Linked DNA regions of Anolis sagrei. The protein of the gene in region 1 purifies or fractionates together with the protein of each later gene. This does not show direct contact. Links are inferred from orthologs where the notes say so. Each region holds a gene or a part of one and is shown on either strand. Other genes may lie near its edges.

Region 1 (10,517 bases):
GGCTGTCGGTGGCACATTCTTCATCCTTTTCTTTCTTGAAATTGCCCAATGCACCCTTCTTCTTGACAGAGAAGGCTGAAGATCTTGTAAAATTACAATTTATGGGACTCCATGGCAGTTCAAGTGGTGCCAAACTGCATTCATTCGACAGTGTACAAATGATGAGGAGCTGCAAAGTTTGACCATGAGGCCATTAATTGCTATATCCTCTGCAAGAGGTAAGGCATCCCATCAACAGATGAAGAAAGAAAAATTCTGAGCTCATTAATATGCAGATCTGAGTTCATTAATATGCATGTCTTCCACTTACTTGGTCCCACTCCGTCGTCATAAGGCATGTCTTGACAGGAGTATGGAGGGGGAGACGGACAATTCCCATAACAGTCATCTGGATCAAGGAAGGAAAACAAGAGAAAAGGAATAAAAACACCGGTGCCTTGGAAGTTTTAGATAAGGCCCAAATCCAAATGTGATTTCCTTGCTCATTTTTAAACCCTCAAAACATTGCCTTATAGGTCTATGCAAAGACAATCCATACACATAGAGTGCATTACAGTGTTGAATTAATACACTTTGACACTGCGTTATCCTACATGGTGCAACAATATGGAATCCTGAAAGTTGTAGTTTGCACAGTTTGGCAGAGACTGCTGAAGTCTGCAGATTACAAGCTACAATTCCCAGGATTCCATTGCATTGAGTCACAGTAGTTAAAAGTGGAGTGAAATTGCAATCATTCTACAGTCTAGGTGTACCCTAATTGACCCAGGCTTAGACATTTGCCCCCCAATTTTCCCCATTTAGAGACGTACTTGTTATGCTGTATGCATCTCCTGAAGAAGACTGGGGCAAATATGAGTCTGGTGTATATTTCTCCGGGGCATAGGGCTGAGATTCATAAGGCTGGGGGGCGCAGGGCTGGGATTCGTAGGGCTGGGGGGTGTAGGACTTGGGTTCGTAGGGCTGGGAGGTGTAGGGCTTGGGTTCGTAGGGCTGGGGGGCGTAGGACTTAGGTTCGTAGGGCTGGGAGGTGTAGGGCTTGGGTTCGTAGGTCTGGGGGGTGTAGGGCTTGGGTTCGTAGGGCTGGGAATATTCCGGCACATATGGCTCCGGACGGGGGGCAATGTCAGTCATTGGGATGGTTACATGCTTCACCGTCTTCTGCTCCATCTTGAGAGTCGGCCTGCAAGGCAAAACAGCAGAAGAGGTGAAGGAGCCATGAGGAAGCTTTTTGGCTGCATGGAAACAGAGTGGGAGAAACAATAGTCCCTCTATTCCTTTGCCCCCTTTGGCATCACAACCTGCAGATTGCAACCAAACAGCAGTCCTAAAAGAAATAGAGAACAAGATGAAGCAGAGCAGTATAGTGGTTTGAGTTTTGAAGACTCCCGGGTTCGAATCCCTGCTTAACCATGGAAGAGCAGCTTTGCGCAAGTTGCACTCTCTCAGCCTCCAAGGGAGGCAAAAGCAAAAGCCCTTTGAACAAATCTGCCTGGTTGAATCCCAAGTCAAAACATAGCAATTGCAAAACAGGAGGCAGCTTGGAACACATACCACATTGTCTACCGATTCTCATTGTTTTGGACAAAATCCAAATAACTGACAGTCCACAACTAATGGTAGACTGCAATAAGGAAAAGGAGGAAAGAGGAGAACAGGAGGAAGAAGAAGAAAAAAGGGGAGGAAGAAATATATATATTCTGGTTTTGCATTGGTTCCAGTTTGTAGGATGGTTAGCCACTTTTGAGTCCTGTGATTGGGAGAAATGCATAAAACAACTCAGTAATAAAAACAATGCTAATAGGGCAGTAAAAGATATTACTTTATTCATTGTATATCGACTTGCAGTTTCTCAGGTTGCTCCTGACTTGAGAAACTTAAAAGTCGATATACAATGAATATAAATATAGAATTGTATATCCCACCCTCCTCCTTTTCAGCATCAACTGAGTCTACAAGGTGAGACCAACTAGCTTTCTATAAATTAAGAAAATAGTAAGATATTATACTGCCTTAATCACATTGGTTTCACTGCATGATGACGATATTAATTTGTATCCCACCTATACACACCATGAATCCACTTGTACCTTGGACCAAGTCAGAGACACAAAAACAACCCTGACAGCCTCTGTACATGCTTTTCCTAAGCTCCGTATTTTGCCTTTGTTTTGCAATGGCTCCCCAAAGGAGACAAACAAGGCCTCAATGTGCAAGTGTGGTTAAAGGTGTGATGTCATGGCCCCCACGTGTTGGTGATATCAGCCTTTAATGAGAGAAATACCTTCCTCTAATTACGGGCCTCGATTCTGAGCAGCCTTTCTAAAGGCTTGCTCATCCAGCCTGATTTGCCTCCACTTGGTGCTCCAACCCATGCAAATTGGCCCCATTCATGCATTCCTGATGAAAGAATGTGGAGGTAGGTGGCAATTGACCACTCCTTGGGCCGCTATAAACGTCCACATTTTTTCTAAATGATGCGGTTTATTCATGTGCCATTCCCTTGCTAGAGAGCATTTGCCCCACAATGACAGCTATTTGGCAGCCAAAGGACAGCTTCCAAGTGATGTGTTTCCCATTTGGTTTCACTTCGAGTCTCCTTGTTTTGGGGGATACAAAGTCCCATCATCCACAGCCATGCCTGCCTTGGGAAGATGGGCTACATGACTCCAATGCCTGAGTCCTTAATATCATGGATCCAGAAATTAAATTAATTACTTCCTATTGACCAGATGGGTTGGTTCTAGTTTTGGACCTACAAATTGGATTCGGAACAGGGTGACTACAAATCCCAGAATCCCCCATCCAGTATGGCCAAAATGGGGTTCTGGGAGTTATAGTCCAACCCATCCATATGCTCAAAAACAACTGGAAGCTAGTTTCTCCATCCGATCCCATAATGTCTGTTTGGTCCTCTGTCTTTTTTTATCTGTTTCGGAATAGTTTTAAGCTTGGAAAATGCATGAAAGTTGGGATGATGCAACAAGCAAAGCTACTGTTAGGTGGATTGGGAACTAGTTCACCCGCTATTTCTATCCAATGGCTTCCCCCTTCTTCCTGGAGAGAAGTGACTTTTGGGGTCTTGTCTTGGGCCTTTAAGGGCTATTCAGAAGCTTTATCAGTGGCTTGGATGACAGACTAGAAGGCAGGCTGATCCAAATTTGGGAGGGACAGCAAATACCTAGAGCAGGGGTCCTCAAACTAAGGCCCAGGGGCCGGATACGGCCCTCCAAGGTCATTCACCCAGCCCTCGCTCAGGGTCAACCTAAGTCTGAAATGACTTAAAAGCACACAACAATAACAACAATCCTATCTGATCAGCCAAAAACAGGCCCACACTTCCCATTGAAATACTAATAAGTTTATATTTGTTAACATAGTTCTTCATTTTGATTATTGTATTGTTTTTAAGTGGGGGTTTTTTTTGCACTACAAATAACATGTGCAGTGGGCATAGGAATTCATTCATGTTTTTTTTCAAATTATAATCTGGCCCTCCAACAGTTTAAGAGACTGTGACCTGGCCCTCTGTTTAAAAAGTTTGTGGACCCCTGACCTAGAGGATGGGACCAGGATCCAAAATGACCTCAACAGATTAGAGAGCTGATTGTCCAGAACTAACAAAACGGAATTTCAGTAGGCAATAACAATGAAGTGTACAGATAGAGGAGTTAAAGGGATTGAGGAGTAATAGTAATAATAATAATACCACCACCTGTCAGCTGCAAAAGGCCCCCTTCTTGGATCTGCACGCATTATTAACCAATACATCACACAGTCCTAGAAACTTGTGGTGTCCGACGTGTGATCCAATACAAAAGCCAGCATAGTGATCTTGTTTGCTGTGTACTAGTCTTTTTGTGTATCTAATAATAGTAGTAGTAGTAGTAGTAGTAGTAATAATAATGATAATAATAATAATAATAATAATAATACAAGAGTGTGATGTGGCAGCTAACAAGGCCAATGTGATCCTAGACTACTTCAATAGGAGTCTAGCGTTTAAACAGAGGGAAGTTATATTGACCATGGATTGACTATATCTAAGTCTGAGAAAATGATCTAGAGTCTTAGCAGACTGGAAACTGAATGAGAGACTACAGTGTGATGCAGCAGCAAAATAGGCCAATACGATCCTAGGCTGCAACAATAGGAGTCTAGTGTCTAAATTGATAGAAGTAATCTTGGCTATGTCTTGATAATAGTTATGTTTGTGATGTATGCTAACAAGGCCAATGTGATCCTAAACTGCATCAATGGCGGTGTAGAGTCCCACTCTTTTCTGCCTTGGTTGGATCTCACCTGGAATAATAACCCTGTATCCAGTTCTGAGCAAAGCAATTCAAGAAAGAGATGGACAAGCGGGAAGGAGGACCAAAATGGCCAAGGCTTATGAGGAACAGCTTAAATTGCTGAGGATGTTTAGCTTGGAGAAGGCGGATAGAAGAATATGAGAGTCATGTTGAAATATTTGGAAGGATGCCCTGTTGAGGAAGGGGCAAGGCTTGTTTTCTGCTGCTCCAGAGACTGGGACACAACAGAGTATTGGATTCAAATTGCAGAAAAAGGGATTCCATCTGAACATTAGGAAGAAATGATTTCCCTACCTGTGTGGACCAGGATCAGATAGAACTGGTACCTCTTTCCCGGAGTCTCTGTTCACTTCATCGGCCTCTTGGCTCCTCTGATGTCCAAGGAAGGGTCATGATCTATTCCTAAGATCTTGCTGACTTGGAGCCCAGGTCCGGAGTGAGGGTTTATCCCATCTCAAAGGGGCAGGAAGAGATAGGAGTTTGGCCGGAAGGGAGGAGAAATGGAGCAGCTGTGTAATTACCCTCCGGTTAGCCAAGCACTCCATCCTCTTTCCAAACGCAAACATCCCAAAGAGGAATGCCGGGGAACGGGTTGGATGAGACAGGGCTCATTTGGTTGGGTGTCCATTCAAGATAGCACCTCTCAACAGGAGCACCTTTGTTTTGGAGAGTTTTGCGGCACTGATCCAAGGCCAGCTAAATTGTGTTTTCTATGGCTTTGACTGCATCTGAAGCAGGCCAGGACTTTGGCAATGTTTGCAGTGATCCGAAGCAATGGTTGCAATGATATATGATTGCAGTGGCTTCACCTGATTGTATCCGAAACAATGGTTGTAAGGGTACATCGTTGCAAGGATGCACGTTTGCAGTGGCTTCTCCTGACTGTATCCGAAACAATGGTTGCAAGGATACATTAATGCAGTGGTTCTCAACCTTCCTAATGCCGTGACCCCTTAATGCAGTTCCTCATGTTGTGGTGACCCCCCAACCAAATTTGGCACAATTACCTGATACACCCAAATTTGAATACTGGTGGGGTTGGGGGGGGGGAGTTGGTTTTGTCATTTGGTGTTGTAGGTAAAGGTTTTCCCCTGACATTATGTCCAGTCATGTCTGACTTGGGTGTGGTGCTCATCTCCATTTCTAAGCCAAAGAGCCAGCGTTGTCCGTAGAGACCTCCAAGGTCATGTAGCCAGCATAACTGCAGGGAGCATCGTTACCTTCCCACCAGAGCAGTACCTATTGATCTACTCACATTTGCATGTTTTTGAACTGCTAAGTTGGCAGAAGCTGGGGCTGACAGCGGAAGCTAATGCCACTTCCTGGATTTGAACCTGCGCTCTTTTGATCAACAAGCTCAGCAACTCAGCAGTATCGTTGTTGGGATTTATCGTTAACCTACAATCAAAGAGCATTCTGAACTCCACCAACGATGTAATTGAAACAAACTTGGCACACAGATATCCCTTGACCAACAGAAAATACTGGAAGGGTTTGGTGGACATTGACCTTGAGTTTTGGAGCTGTAGCACTGTGGACTCAAACAATGATGGATCTGGACCAAACCTGGCAAGAATACTCAATCTGCCCAAATGTGAACACTGGTAGATTTTGGGGAAATTAGACCTTGACACTTGGGAGTTGTAGTTGCTAGGATTTATAGTTCACCTACAATCAAAGAGCATTCTGAACTCCATCAACGATGAAATCGAACCAAATGTGGCACACAGAACTCCCATGACCAACAGAAAATACTGGAAAGATTTGGCAGGCATGGACCTTGAGTTTTGGAATTGTAGTTCACCTACCTCCAAAAGCACTGTGGACTCAAACAATGATGGATCTGGACCAAACTTGACACGAATACTCAATATGCCCAAATGTGAACACTGGTGGAGTTTGGGGAACATTGACTTGACATTTGGAAGTTGCATTTGCTGGGATTTATAGTTCACCTACAATCAAAGTACACTCTGAATCCAGCCCACAATCAAGGGAGGGCTCGTGTGAAGGAGCCCCCGGCTGCCTCGCGGCCTCGCCATTTGGTGAAGCCGCGAGGGAGCTGAGGCAGCCTCCACACAAGCCCTCCCTGGACTCCCCCACGGGCGCCAAGGAGCCCAGAGAGGGCTCGTGCAAAGGAGCCCCCGGCTGCCTCGCGGCCTCGCCATTTGGCGAAGCTGCGAGGGAGCCGAGGCAGCCTCTGCACAAGCCCTCCCTGGGCTCCTTGGCGGCCTCGCCATTTGGCGAGCCCGCTGGGGAGCCCAGGGAGGGCTCGTGCAAAGGAGCCCCCGGCCGCCTCGCGGCCTCGCCATTTGGCGAGGACGCCAAGGAGCCCAGGGAGGACTCGCAGCCTTGTGGGCGGGGCCGAAGGAGGCGGCCTCGCGACCCCTCCGAAATGGCCAAACGACCCCCTGGGGAGTCGCGACCCCCAGGTTGAGAACCGCTGCATTAATGCATTGGCTTCGCCTGACTGCATCCAAAACAATGGTTGTAAGGATACATCATTGCAAGGATGCATGTTTGCAGTGGCTTCTCCTGACTGCAATCAAAGCAGTGGTTGTAAGGATACAGAATACCAGGCTCTCCTGACTGCATCCAAAGCAGTGGTTGCAATGATACATAATGCAGTGCTTCTTCTGACTGCCTAAAAAACAATGCTTGCAATGTTACATAATGCAGCGTTTCTTCTGACTGCATATGAAGCAGTGCTTGCAATGATACAGAATGCAGTGCTTTTCCTGATTGCATTCAAAGCAGGCCAAGACTGAAAATGCAGTGGCAATGGTTACATTCTCCTTGTAGTTAAGCTGGGCCTGTTTTGTCTGAGAAATAAATTGCTTACCTTCCAAGTTCTGGTCCAATTCAGTTTCCGTACTCAATGCATTCATTATAACACTTTGTCAAAGGCCAATAATATCAGGAATTTGAAATAACAGGGTTCGAATCCCTGCTCAACCATGGAAATCCTTTGGGTGGCATGGGGACAGCCACACCCTCTCAGCCTCAGAGGGAGACCCCTTTCTGAATTGATCCAGATAAGGAACCCCTATTATCCTCAGTTCTTGTGGGTTTTTTCGGGCTATATGGCCATGTTCTAGAGGCATTTCTCCTGACGTTTCGCCTGCATCTATGGCAAGCATCCTCAGAGGTGAGGTCTGCTGGGACTGGGAAAAAGGGGGTTTATATATCTGTGGAATGACCAGGGTGAGACAAAGGGCTTTTGTAAGTTGGGCTGGGTGTGAATCTTTCAGCTGACCACCTTGATTAGCATACAATGGGCTGACTGTGCCTGGAGCAAAACTCTTCTTGAAAGGTGATTAGATGTCCCTGCCTGTTTTTCTCTCTGCTGTTTTTGCTGTTGCAATTTTAGAATTTTTTAATACTGGTAGTGTGTTCATTTTCATGGTTTCTTCCTTTCTGTTGAAATTGTCCACATGTTTGTGGATTTCAATGGCTTCTCTGTGTAGTCTGACATGGTGGTTGTGAGAGTGGTCCAGCCCCTATTATTTTGGAGAGCTGGAATGGCTCAGTGGTTTGTGTGAATTAGGCCTCTAGGAGACACAAGTTCAAATCCTCACTTGGCTATTGAAACTCCACAGGTTACACTCTCTCAGCCTCCAGCATTCTTTCTATTAGGATTTCCAAAAAACGAATGCCTTGAATTTGGGCAAGTTGCACCTTCTCAGCATCATAATAAAATCTTGGCAACCTTCTTGGATAGAAATCTACGCAGCCCTCTCTCCGGACTCCCCCAGAACACAAAGAAATGCATACAAGGCTAGATTGCATCTTATAATCAATACCCATTTTATCGTATGATAAAAGGACTTTTGGACCCTTCCAGTTTGCTGATAAGTGTATATGTCTCCAACTTACAGTGTCCCTACAGCAAACATGTCACTGGTTTTTCTTGGCAAGATTTATACAAAGGAGGTTTGCCCTTTGCCTTCCTCTGAGGCTGAGAGAGTATGGCTTGGGCCCAGTGGGTTTCTATGTGAGGATGCGAACCCAGATCTCAGAAAATAGTCCTCCAGTGCTCAAATTGCTTGCTTATACCAAGTTGTTCATGAAAAGCAGCACCCCTTCAACTTCCTGCCAGCAAAGGTGCCGCAGTGTTTTGAATGTTAGATTAAAGCTCTGGAGTCCAGGGTTTGAATCCTCCCTTTTGGCCATGAAGCCTAATGAGTGCCCTTGGGCAGGGTGCACGGTCTCAGCCCCAGATAACCTTGCAATGATAGCCTTGCCTTTGAGCCCTCCACAAAGCAACAAACTGCTCCCTCTCTGCTTCCGTCTCTCGAAGCATCCAAGGCAAACTCTATATAAAACTTTTTTCCCCAACACGCCCTAAATCTGGCCCTGATCCGGCAGGTGGGTGGGATCGCCAGTTTATTACAGGTGTGAAATGCTGAATGCCCTGTTTATTACTAGGAGGTTTGTATTAAAACTCAGTCACACCTGTTGCCTTTCCGCCCGGACCTCATTTGACATGTTCCACATCTTTATCTGTGACTCGGACAATGGGAGAGAAGGCGCGTCGCTCCCACGTGCAGATAGGACGCAATGGGGGAGGGATAACCCATATGGTTTGGATCAGGATCCACAGTGATCCTTGTAACAGATTAGAGAGCTAATTGGCTCTAAATAAGGGAATGGATTTCAACAGGGAGAAATGCAAGGTGGAAATAAACAAAATGCACAGATATAAGATGTGGAGTGCCTGGCTTCAAAACATGTGTAAGGAATCTAGGAGTTTTATGAGGGCACAAACTGAGGAAGAGCCAACAGTGTGATGCGGCAGCAAAAAAAAAGGCCAATGCAATTCTAGGAGTCTAGTGTCTATATTGAGGGAAGTAATATGGATTGTGGCTTTATAATGGATGGATGGATTAATGGATAAGATAGATAGGCAGGCAGGCATGAAAGAGATCTAGGAGTCTTAGTGGACCACTAGATGGGGGGTGAGTCAAAAGTGTGATGCAGCATGGAAAAAGACCAATGCGATTCTAGGCTGTATCAATTGGAGCGTAGTGTCTAGATTAATAGAAGTAATATTGGCTATGGCTTGACAATAATTATATGTGTGTGTGTGTATGTATGCATATATATGAAAAGAATCTAGGAGCCTTAGTAGACCACAAGCTGAACAAGACAGTGTGATGCGGCAGCTAAAAAGGCCATTACAATTCTAGATTGTAACAATAGGAATCTAGTTGCAGTAATATTGGGTATGGCTTGAATACACACATACACACACGTGTGTTTGGTAAATATATTCTCTCATATATATATATATATATATATATATATATATATATATGAAACTGATCTAGAAGTATTAGTGGACCACGAGCTGAACAGGAGTCTACAGTGTGATGTGGCAGCTAAAAAAGCCAATGTGATAACTCTCCTACATCCATAGGAGCAAATGTCTACACCAAGGAAAGTCCCACTGTGAGATCTATCATCAGCACCCTTGAGTCGGTCCATCATCAGCATATTGCTTAACCAATTAACCTACAGCTTGATGTCTGTCATCATTAGAGATCAAATGTGCTTAAACAAATAATACTTAATGTTCCAAGGAAACAGTGGCCCTTGAGAAAGTGGCTTCCTTCTGCATTAGAATTCCTCAAGGGACCTGAATAACAAAACCCCGAGTTGCTTTTTCTGAGTTTTAAACTCCTTCTCCTGGAAAAACAATTAACTCAACATGAGTTGGGAGAATTCTGCCTCTGAACTAAATTTGCTTTTGCAAAATGCCTTAAGGATAATTTCTGTTCCTGAATTCGAGAAGTAACTTTCCAAGTATTTCGACCTCAGAGGAAAGCAATCTTGAGAGCCAGGAGCGGGAGTTTGGCAACTTAATTGTGATAAAAAGCAAGATGAAGACAACAACGAGGACAACAACAACAATACAATTTTGAGCATTAAACTAAGAGTCAATGGGAGGCCTGCATTTTAATCCCGGTTTAGCAATGGAACCCTATTGGGTGAGTCACACTCCCTCAGCCTCAAAAGGAGGCAATGGCAAAACCCACCTGAAGAAATCTTGAGAACAACAACAACAACAATAGTTTAGCTATGAGTCTAGGAGACCTGCATTTGAATCCTGGCAAAGCAATGGAACCCTATTGGGTGAGTCACACTCTCTCAGCCTCAAAAGGAACCAATGACAAAACCCACCTGAAGAAATCTTGAGGAGAA
Region 2 (9,722 bases), on another chromosome or scaffold:
CTGGAGAAGTTACACTGCTTAGCCGGTATCGCACCACCTGACATCCGCCGGGAAGTGGCAGCCAAGAGTGAAAGGACCAAGGCAGAGACATCTCCAGATCATCCCCTGTTTGGGTATCAGCCAGCACGTCAACGACTGAAATCTAGAAATAGTTTCCTAAGATCTACAGAGACACTCGCTGGAACACCTCAGTAAGCGAGAGTCCAAAAGTGGCAGGGGGGAGCAGCCAATAGTGAAAGGAACAAGGCAGAGACATCTCCAGCTCATCCCCTGTTTGGGTATCAGCCAGCACGTCAACGACTCAAATCAAGAAATAGTTTTCTAAGATCTACAGAGACATTTGCTGGAACACCCCAGCAAGCGAGAGTCCAAAAGTGGCAGGCTCAAACCCAGAACTGATCCCAAATGAGAGACTCCCCCCTGGGCATACAGAGGACTGGGCGACTAGGAAGGCGCTGAACAGACTGCACTCTGTCCCCACAAGATGCAGAGCCAACCTCAAGAAATGGGGCCACAAAGTGGAATCCTTGACATGCGAGTGCGGAGTAGAGCCAACCACTGACCACCTGCTGCAATGCACCCTGAGCCCAGCCACATGATGCACAAGGGAGGACCTCATTGCGGCAACACCAGAGGCACTCCAAGGGCCCAGAGACTGGTCAAAGGACATTTAATCCACTACCAAACCCACAAATTTTGTATTTTGTCTGTTTGTTTGCTTTGTTCTGTTAGAAATGTAATATAATTTGAGTGGTTGTCCTGACACGACAAATAAATAGCTGTTAGTCAGTTCTTGTGGGTTTTTTCGGGCTATATGGCTATATGGCTTCTGCCAACCTAGCAGTTCGAAAACATGCAAATGTGAGTAGATCAATAGGTACCGCTCCGGCGGGAAGGTAACGGCGCTTCATGCAGTCATGCCAGCCACATGACCTTGGAGGTGTCTACAGACAACGCTGGCTCTTTGGCTTAGAAATGGAGATGAGCACCACACCCCAGAGTCAGACATGACTGGACTTAATATCAGGGGACTACCTTTACCTTTACATTTACCCTTTTATGGCCATGTTCCAGAGGCATTTCTTCTGACGTTTCGCCTGCATCTATGGCAAGCATCCCCAGACCTCACTACCTCTGAGGATGCTTGCCATAGATGCAGGCGAAACGTCAGGAGAAATGCTTCTAGAACATGGCCACAGAGCCTGAAAAAACCTACAACAACCCATTCACACCTAGTTCCAACAGACAAGAGTCCTTTGTCCCACCCTGGTCATTCCACAGATATATAAACCCATTGTCCTAATTCCAACAGACCTCACTACCTCTGAGGATGCTTGCCATAGATGCAGGCGAAACGTCAGGAGAGAATGCCTCTAGAACATGGCCACAGAGCCCGAAAAAACCTACAACAACCCATTCACACCTAGTTCCAACAGACAAGAGTCCTTTGTCCCACCCTGGTCATTCCACAGATATATAAACCCATTGTCCTAATTCCAACAGACCTCACCACCTCTGAGGATGCTTGCCATAGATGCAGGCGAAACGTCAGGAGAAATGCTTCTAGAACATGGCCCTATAGCCCGAAAAAACCTACAACAACCCATTCACACCTAGTTCCAACAGACAAGAGTCCTTTGTCCCACCCTGGTCATTCCACAGATATATAAACCCATTGTCCTAATTCCAACAGACCTCACTACCTCTGAGGATGCTTGCCATAGATGCAGGCGAAACGTCAGGAGAGAATGCCTCTAGAACATGGCCACAGAGCCCGAAAAAACCTACAACAACCCATTCACACCTAGTTCCAACAGACAAGAGTCCTTTGTCCCACCCTGGTCATTCCACAGATATATAAACCCATTGTCCTAATTCCAACAGACCTCACCACCTCTGAGGATGCTTGCCATAGATGCAGGCGAAACGTCAGGAGAAATGCTTCTAGAACATGGCCCTATAGCCCGAAAAAACCTACAACAACCCATTCACACCTAGTTCCAACAGACAAGAGTCCTTTGTCCCACCCTGGTCATTCCACAGATATATAAACCCATTGTCTTAATTCCAACAGACTTCACCACCTCTGAGGATGCTTGCCATATGTGCAGGCGAAACGTCAGGAGAGAATGCCTCTAGAACATGGCCACAGAGCCCGAAAAAACCTACAACAACCCATTCACACCTAGTTCCAACAGACAAGAGTCCTTTGTCCCACCCTGGTCATTCCACAGATATATAAACCCATTGTCCTAATTCCAACAGACCTCACCACCTCTGAGGATGCTTGCCATAGATGCAGGCGAAACGTCAGGAGAGAATGCCTCTAGAACATGGCCACAGAGCCCGAAAAAACCTACAACAACCCATTCACACCTAGTTCCAACAGACAAGAGTCCTTTGTCCCACCCTGGTCATTCCACAGATATATAAACCCATTGTCCTAATTCCAACAGACCTCACCACCTCTGAGGATGCTTGCCATAGATGCAGGCGAAACGTCAGGAGAAATGCTTCTAGAACATGGCCCTATAGCCCGAAAAAACCTACAACAACCCATTCACACCTAGTTCCAACAGACAAGAGTCCTTTGTCCCACCCTGGTCATTCCACAGATATATAAACCCATTGTCTTAATTCCAACAGACTTCACCACCTCTGAGGATGCTTGCCATATGTGCAGGCGAAACGTCAGGAGAGAATGCCTCTAGAACATGGCCACACAGCCCGAAAAAACCTACAACAACCCATTCACACCTAGTTCCAACAGACAAGAGTCCTTTGTCCCACCCTGGTCATTCCACAGATATATAAACCCATTGTCCTAATTCCAACAGACGTCACCACCTCTGAGGATGCTTGCCATAGATGCAGGCGAAACGTCAGGAGAAATGCTTCTAGAACATGGCCCTATAGCCCGAAAAAACCTACAACAACCCATTCACACCTAGTTCCAACAGACAAGAGTCCTTTGTCCCACCCTGGTCATTCCACAGATATATAAACCCATTGTCCTAATTCCAACAGACCTCACAACCTCTGAGGATGCTTGCCATAGATGCAGGCGAAACGTCAGGAGAAATGCCTCTAGAACATGGCCATATAGCCCGGAAAAACCCACAAGAACCTAGTGATTCCAGCCATGAAAGCCTTCGACAATACAATAGCTGTTAGGCTTTTTGGGAGTTGAAGGCCCAAACATCTGGGGACCCACAGGTTGAGAACCACCGCTCTGGACTAAGTCCACCTGGTTCCACCTGAAAGGGACAGCAACTCACCTCTGGAGATGTCCCCAGTGCCAGGTGGGAGGGCGCTTGATTTTCAGGACCAAACTGGATCTGCAGGTGGGAGGCTCCTGCCCCAGGGTGGGACTGGAAAGCGGGCAAACGGGGTGCCGGGGGGCCCCCCAAGGAGACGCTCCTGTGGAGCCCGTGGGGGCCCCGGATCCTCCTTGCAGGGATTGCAGGAGAGTGATCTTCCTCGTTTGGGAGCTGCAAATGTGAGCAGGTCCGGGGAGAAGTGGGGTCAGGCGGATCCGGGGAGAAGTGGAGCGGGGTGCAGCGCCCTTGGTTTGGGGCGTCTTCCTCGGGCGAGGTCCAGCGCCTCCCCCACAAAGCGCTCTTTGGGCAGAGCGGTCGGACGTCCCGACTTCCGTTGGGTGGGGCGGCGCTGGGGGAGAGCCGGAAGCCATTCAGGATGGTGAGGAGCGACCCCGTGGAGGCCCCCTTGACCTCTCCCTCCGGAGGCAGCGAGGAGGGGGACAGCGGAGGGGTACTGCACGGACTCCGGGGGAAGATGACCAGCGAGGAGCACCGCTGCAAGGGACGCCTGCGCCCTTCCGCTGACGGCAACTTGGACACCCGCCCCACAGAGAGATTGTCCAAGGCCACTCTGGGTGCCCAAGCGGTCGCTCCAGGATCAGACTGACCGCCGGCAAACGTGGCTGCGTCCCCGGTGGAGAAGGCGCAGGTGCTGCCACTCTCGCTGATGACGCTGCTGCTGCCGCCACTGCAGGACCCTCCATCGCTGGTGGTGCTCACGCACGAGCCGCAGTCACTCCCCGCGCTGTCAGCAGCCCCTCTCTCGACGCAATTGACATCTGGGACGTCGATCAGACCGCTGCCGGCTGCTGACCGGTGAAGGGGCCGCCCAGGTCGCTCTCCTTCTCTCCTGGGGAAGTGGTCACCAAAAGGCGCCGGTGGGGAGTCCTCTCTGCCACCTTGGGTGCTCTGCAAGGAGATCCTCAGCAAGGCGCTCCTCTTGGGCTTCTGGGACGGAAGGGGCTCGGGGGCCGCGCAACCCAGGAGGGTTTGGGTACGACTCCACTCCTTCCCGGAAACGCCGCCCGCGTCTGGCTTCCCGTCAAACACACGGCTGGCCTCTTGGCCGAAAGGATCTCGGAGCGCCTCAGGGAACGGGTCAACGAGACTTCTTCGGGGGGCCAAGTGGAGTCTCAGCTGCCTCCTCGCCATGGCTCCGCATCTCCACAAACCTTGGAGAGGTGAGTAGTGAAGGTTGAAAACGGTCGCCGGTAGACTCTGAGGAAACAGACAAAGTTAAGGTGGACCTCCCAGCCCTTCTCCGGCCACGGTCCCCGAGTGGGCTTCTTCGGCGGAGGGCACCCTTGAGAGCGGACTTCTTCCCCGGAAGGCACCTTTGAGAGCGGGCTTCTTCCCCGGAGGGCACCCTTGAGAGAGGGCTTCTTCCCCGGAAGGCACCCTTGAGAGAAGAGCGGGCTGCTTTCCCGGAAGGCTCTCTTGAGAGCGGACTTCTTCCCCGGAAGGCACCCCTGAGAGCGGGCTTCTTTCCCGGAAGGCACCCTTGAGAGTGGGCTTCTTTCCTGGAAGGCACCCTTGAGAGCGGGCTTCTTCCCCGGAAGGCAGTCTTGAGAGCGGGCTTCTTCCCCGGAAGGCTCCCTTGAGAGCGGGCTTCTTCCCCGGAGGGCACCCTTGAAAGCGGGCTTCTTCCCCGGAAGGCTCCCTTGAGAGAAGAGCGGGCTTCTTTCCCGGAAGGCTCTCTTGAGAGCGGACTTCTTCCCCGGAAGGCACCTTTGAGAGCGGGCTTCTTCCCCGGAAGGCACCTTTGAGAGCGGGCTTCTTTCCCGGAAGGCACCCTTGAGAACGGACTTCTTTCCCGGAAGGCACCCTTGAGAGCGGGCTTCTTCTCCGGAGGGCACCCTTGAGAGCGGGCTTCTTTCCCGGAGGGCACCTTTGAGAGCGGGCTTCTTTCCCGGAGGGCACCCTTGAGAGCGGGCTTCTTCTCCGGAGGGCACCCTTGAGAGCGGGCTTCTTTCCCGGAGGGCACCTTTGAGAGCGGGCTTCTTTCCCGGAGGGCACCCTTGAGAGCGGGCTTCTTCTCCGGAGGGCACCCTTGAAAGCGGGCTTCTTCCCCGGAAGGCTCCCTTGAGAGAAGAGCGGGCTTCTTTCCCGGAAGGCTCTCTTGAGAGCGGACTTCTTCCCCGGAAGGCACCTTTGAGAGCGGGCTTCTTCCCCGGAGGGCACCCTTGAGAGAGGGCTTCTTCCCCGGAAGGCACCCTTGAGAGAAGAGCGGGCTGCTTTCCCGGAAGGCTCTCTTGAGAGCGGACTTCTTCCCCGGAAGGCACCCCTGAGAGCGGGCTTCTTTCCCGGAAGGCACCCTTGAGAGTGGGCTTCTTTCCTGGAAGGCACCCTTGAGAGCGGGCTTCTTCCCCGGAAGGCTCCCTTGAGAGCGGGCTTCTTCCCCGGAGGGCACCCTTGAAAGCGGGCTTCTTCCCCGGAAGGCTCCCTTGAGAGAAGAGCGGGCTTCTTTCCCGGAAGGCTCTCTTGAGAGCGGACTTCTTCCCCGGAAGGCACCTTTGAGAGCGGGCTTCTTCCCCGGAAGGCACCTTTGAGAGCGGGCTTCTTTCCCGGAAGGCACCCTTGAGAACGGACTTCTTTCCCGGAAGGCACCCTTGAGAGCGGGCTTCTTCTCCGGAGGGCACCCTTGAGAGCGGGCTTCTTTCCCGGAGGGCACCTTTGAGAGCGGGCTTCTTTCCCGGAGGGCACCCTTGAGAGCGGGCTTCTTCTCCGGAGGGCACCCTTGAGAGCGGGCTTCTTTCCCGGAGGGCACCTTTGAGAGCGGGCTTCTTTCCCGGAGGGCACCCTTGAGAGCGGGCTTCTTCTCCGGAGGGCACCCTTGAAAGCGGGCTTCTTCCCCGGAAGGCTCCCTTGAGAGAAGAGCGGGCTTCTTTCCCGGAAGGCTCTCTTGAGAGCGGACTTCTTCCCCGGAAGGCACCTTTGAGAGCGGGCTTCTTCCCCGGAAGGCACCTTTGAGAGCGGGCTTCTTTCCCGGAAGGCACCCTTGAGAACGGACTTCTTTCCCGGAAGGCACCCTTGAGAGCGGGCTTCTTCTCCGGAGGGCACCCTCGAGAGCGGGCTTCTTTCCCGGAGGGCACCTTTGAGAGCGGGCTTCTTTCCCGGAGGGCACCCTTGAGAGCGGGCTTCTTCTCCGGAGGGCACCCTTGAGAGCGGGCTTCTTCTCCGGAGGGCACCCTTGAAAGCGGGCTTCTTCCCCGGAAGGCTCCCTTGAGAGAAGAGCGGGCTTCTTTCCCGGAAGGCTCTCTTGAGAGCGGACTTCTTCCCCGGAAGGCACCTTTGAGAGCGGGCTTCTTCCCCGGAAGGCACCTTTGAGAGCGGGCTTCTTTCCCGGAAGGCACCCTTGAGAACGGACTTCTTTCCCGGAAGGCACCCTTGAGAGCGGGCTTCTTCTCCGGAGGGCACCCTCGAGAGCGGGCTTCTTTCCCGGAGGGCACCTTTGAGAGCGGGCTTCTTTCCCGGAGGGCACCCTTGAGAGCGGGCTTCTTCTCCGGAGGGCACCCTTGAGAGCGGGCTTCTTCTCCGGAGGGCACCCTTGAAAGCGGGCTTCTTCCCCGGAAGGCTCCCTTGAGAGAAGAGCGGGCTTCTTTCCCGGAAGGCTCTCTTGAGAGCGGACTTCTTCCCCGGAAGGCACCTTTGAGAGCGGGCTTCTTCCCCGGAAGGCACCTTTGAGAGCGGGCTTCTTTCCCGGAAGGCACCCTTGAGAACGGACTTCTTTCCCGGAAGGCACCCTTGAGAGCGGGCTTCTTCTCCGGAGGGCACCCTCGAGAGCGGGCTTCTTTCCCGGAGGGCACCTTTGAGAGCGGGCTTCTTTCCCGGAGGGCACCCTTGAGAGCGGGCTTCTTCTCCGGAGGGCACCCTTGAGAGCGGGCTTCTTCTCCGGAGGGCACCCTTGAAAGCGGGCTTCTTCCCCGGAAGGCTCCCTTGAGAGAAGAGCGGGCTTCTTTCCCGGAAGGCTCTCTTGAGAGCGGACTTCTTCCCCGGAAGGCACCTTTGAGAGCGGGCTTCTTCCCCGGAAGGCACCTTTGAGAGCGGGCTTCTTTCCCGGAAGGCACCCTTGAGAACGGACTTCTTTCCCGGAAGGCACCCTTGAGAGCGGGCTTCTTCTCCGGAGGGCACCCTCGAGAGCGGGCTTCTTTCCCGGAGGGCACCTTTGAGAGCGGGCTTCTTTCCCGGAGGGCACCCTTGAGAGCGGGCTTCTTCTCCGGAGGGCACCCTTGAGAGCGGGCTTCTTTCCCGGAGGGCACCTTTGAGAGCGGGCTTCTTTCCCGGAGGGCACCCTTGAGAGCGGGCTTCTTCTCCGGAGGGCACCCTTGAGAGCGGGCTTCTTCTCCGGAGGGCACCTTTGAGAACGGACTTCTTCTCCGGAAGGCACCCTTGAGAGCGGGCTTCTTCCCCGGAAGGCACCTTTGAGAGCGGGCTTCTTTCCCGGAAGGCACCCTTGAGAGAAGAGCGGGTTTCTTCCCCGGAAGGCACCCAAAGAGAGCGGGCTTCTTTCCCGGAAGGCACCCTTGAGAGCGGGCTTCTTCCCCGGAAGGCACCCTTGAGAGCGGGCTTCTTCCCTGGAAGGCACCCTTGAAAGCCCTCTCGTCTGCACTCAATCCTTTGCCGACTCACTCCAGCGAATTAACTCCAGGCCCGCTCTTCTTCGGAGAGACTCCTCCAGCCGAACGCAGGCTGAGCTTTCTTTAGCTCCGAGCAAACGAACAGAGGAACGAACGGCCGCTCATATTTTTACCCAGCGGTTTAGAGTTACAGGAAGTCAGGAGGAATGGAGTCCCACCTCATTATCAGATCCAAGGCTCAATTTTGAAAGATTAATCGGGTAAGGCTGCGCAAACGAAAGAGCGAGGACCCTCTCGGTCGGTCAGGAGAGCGTTATGAAAGCACTTACTGTGTTCAATTTAAAGAGGGAAAACGCTGCGGGTTTGTTTTGGTTTTTTTTGCAGGGAGGAGGGCAAATGCAACGGATTGCAAGCAAGGGAGACCCCGAAAATAAAAGCCAGAATGTCATGTCATGACCACATTTTGGACAGATTCAATCTCTGGGTCACTTCTGACAGCACCTCAGCATGTGTTGCTTTTCACCTCAAACTACAAGAAAGGAGATTCCATCTGAATATGAGGAAGAACTTCCTGACTGTGAGAGCCGTTCAGCAGTGGAACTCTCTGCCCCGGAGTGTGGTGGAGGCTCCCTCTTTGGAAGCTTTTAAACGGAGTCTGGATGGCCATCTGTCAGGGGTGATTTGAATGCAATATTACTGCTTCTTGGCAGAATGGGGTTGGACTGGATGGCCCAAGGAGGTCTCTGTTGGGGTTCAGCCTGAGTTTGAACTTGAACCTGATTCTCTGTTCCTCCTGTTGCTAATGAAAATATATTTACTGATGCTAATGGAAATGTACCTTTTGATGCCAATGCTCCTGAAATTAGTGAGGAAGAATCTGCTGTAGGTTTGGAAAATGCCAATGTTCCTGAAATTAGTGAGGAAGGGACTTCTGTAGATTTGGGAAATGAAAGTCCCAGTGTTCATGAGAATGTTTCAGAGGGAGACCTTGAACTTTCCCTCCCTTCTGCACCTGTTAACTGTAATGACAACAGGAGGAACCAAATTTGGGAAGACAGAAGTAAATCACTCAGTTTGCGCCGATCCTCCCGAATTCAAGAATTAAAAACATTAGCTTCAAAACAGAAGGGCGGTTCACGGAACCGATTCTTGAGTTTTAATTGCAATACGCCAGGCTGATTGCCTCAGTTCAGGCATCGTTTCAGAATTGATGAAGACCTTGGCAGTTCTCCCGGTTCCCTGGTCATAGTATGGAAAGATTTCTAGGATATCAAGTACGGTTAGTGGATTGCTAACAGATTCCAGCAGTTCCTAGTGAGGCTTTTGGTTTTGCTTTGTCCATTTAAATTCATGTTTGCTGATTTTGCTGTGGCTTTTGACTTGCATTTTTCCTTTATTTTGTAACCATTTTTCTTCAATAAAAAAGGATTGTTTTTCACAGCCAAGTGTGGTGGAGAGTTATCTGAGGGCCTCGTTTCCTGCTCTGGGTTGCAACAGTCTCTTCCAAGTCTAGGATTCTAGGATTCTATGAATGAAGCACCTGAGCATGTTGACAGATCCTTTCCACGTCAAGGGCAAAAGAATGCTTCCAGACGCTGGTAGAGAAAGCGTGCTGCTTGGGGGGCAAACATTACACCCTGGGCCCAAAGCAATGCGCCATTCCCCACTGACAGCACTCGCAAGACCAAGCCTTTCCGCTTTGCTCAGAGTCCATTTGCCCTGCAAAGCTGATATGACGAACCAGCCCAGAGCAAGTGCCAGAGGACCGCTTGGCTGCATTTCAGGGCTGCTGCCATCTTCCAGCCACTCCTCTCTTTGCTCGCCC

The links.
Region 2: the proteins of lipopolysaccharide-induced tumor necrosis factor-alpha factor-like (region 1) and NEDD4 purify together in Homo sapiens (co-immunoprecipitation; 4 studies listed by BioGRID and IntAct, counting the BioPlex papers as one, with this or other methods). This does not show direct contact. The link is inferred for Anolis sagrei from reciprocal best matches to the Homo sapiens genes LITAF and NEDD4.

The regions. Positions count from the first base shown.
Region 1 is NC_090034.1:20,484,619-20,495,135, forward strand, and holds the start of lipopolysaccharide-induced tumor necrosis factor-alpha factor-like, read right to left. Parts: upstream 4,812-10,517; 5' UTR 4,640-4,811; exon of another isoform or gene 4,608-4,639; intron 3,421-4,607; exon of another isoform or gene 1,184-3,420; 5' UTR 1,171-1,183; coding exon 813-1,170; intron 389-812; coding exon 311-388; intron 1-310.
Region 2 is NC_090029.1:1,439,871-1,449,592, reverse strand, and holds the start of NEDD4 (E3 ubiquitin-protein ligase NEDD4), read right to left. Parts: upstream 4,542-9,722; 5' UTR 4,473-4,541; coding exon 3,279-4,472; intron 1-3,278. UniProt on the Homo sapiens protein: E3 ubiquitin-protein ligase which accepts ubiquitin from an E2 ubiquitin-conjugating enzyme in the form of a thioester and then directly transfers the ubiquitin to targeted substrates. Specifically ubiquitinates 'Lys-63' in target proteins.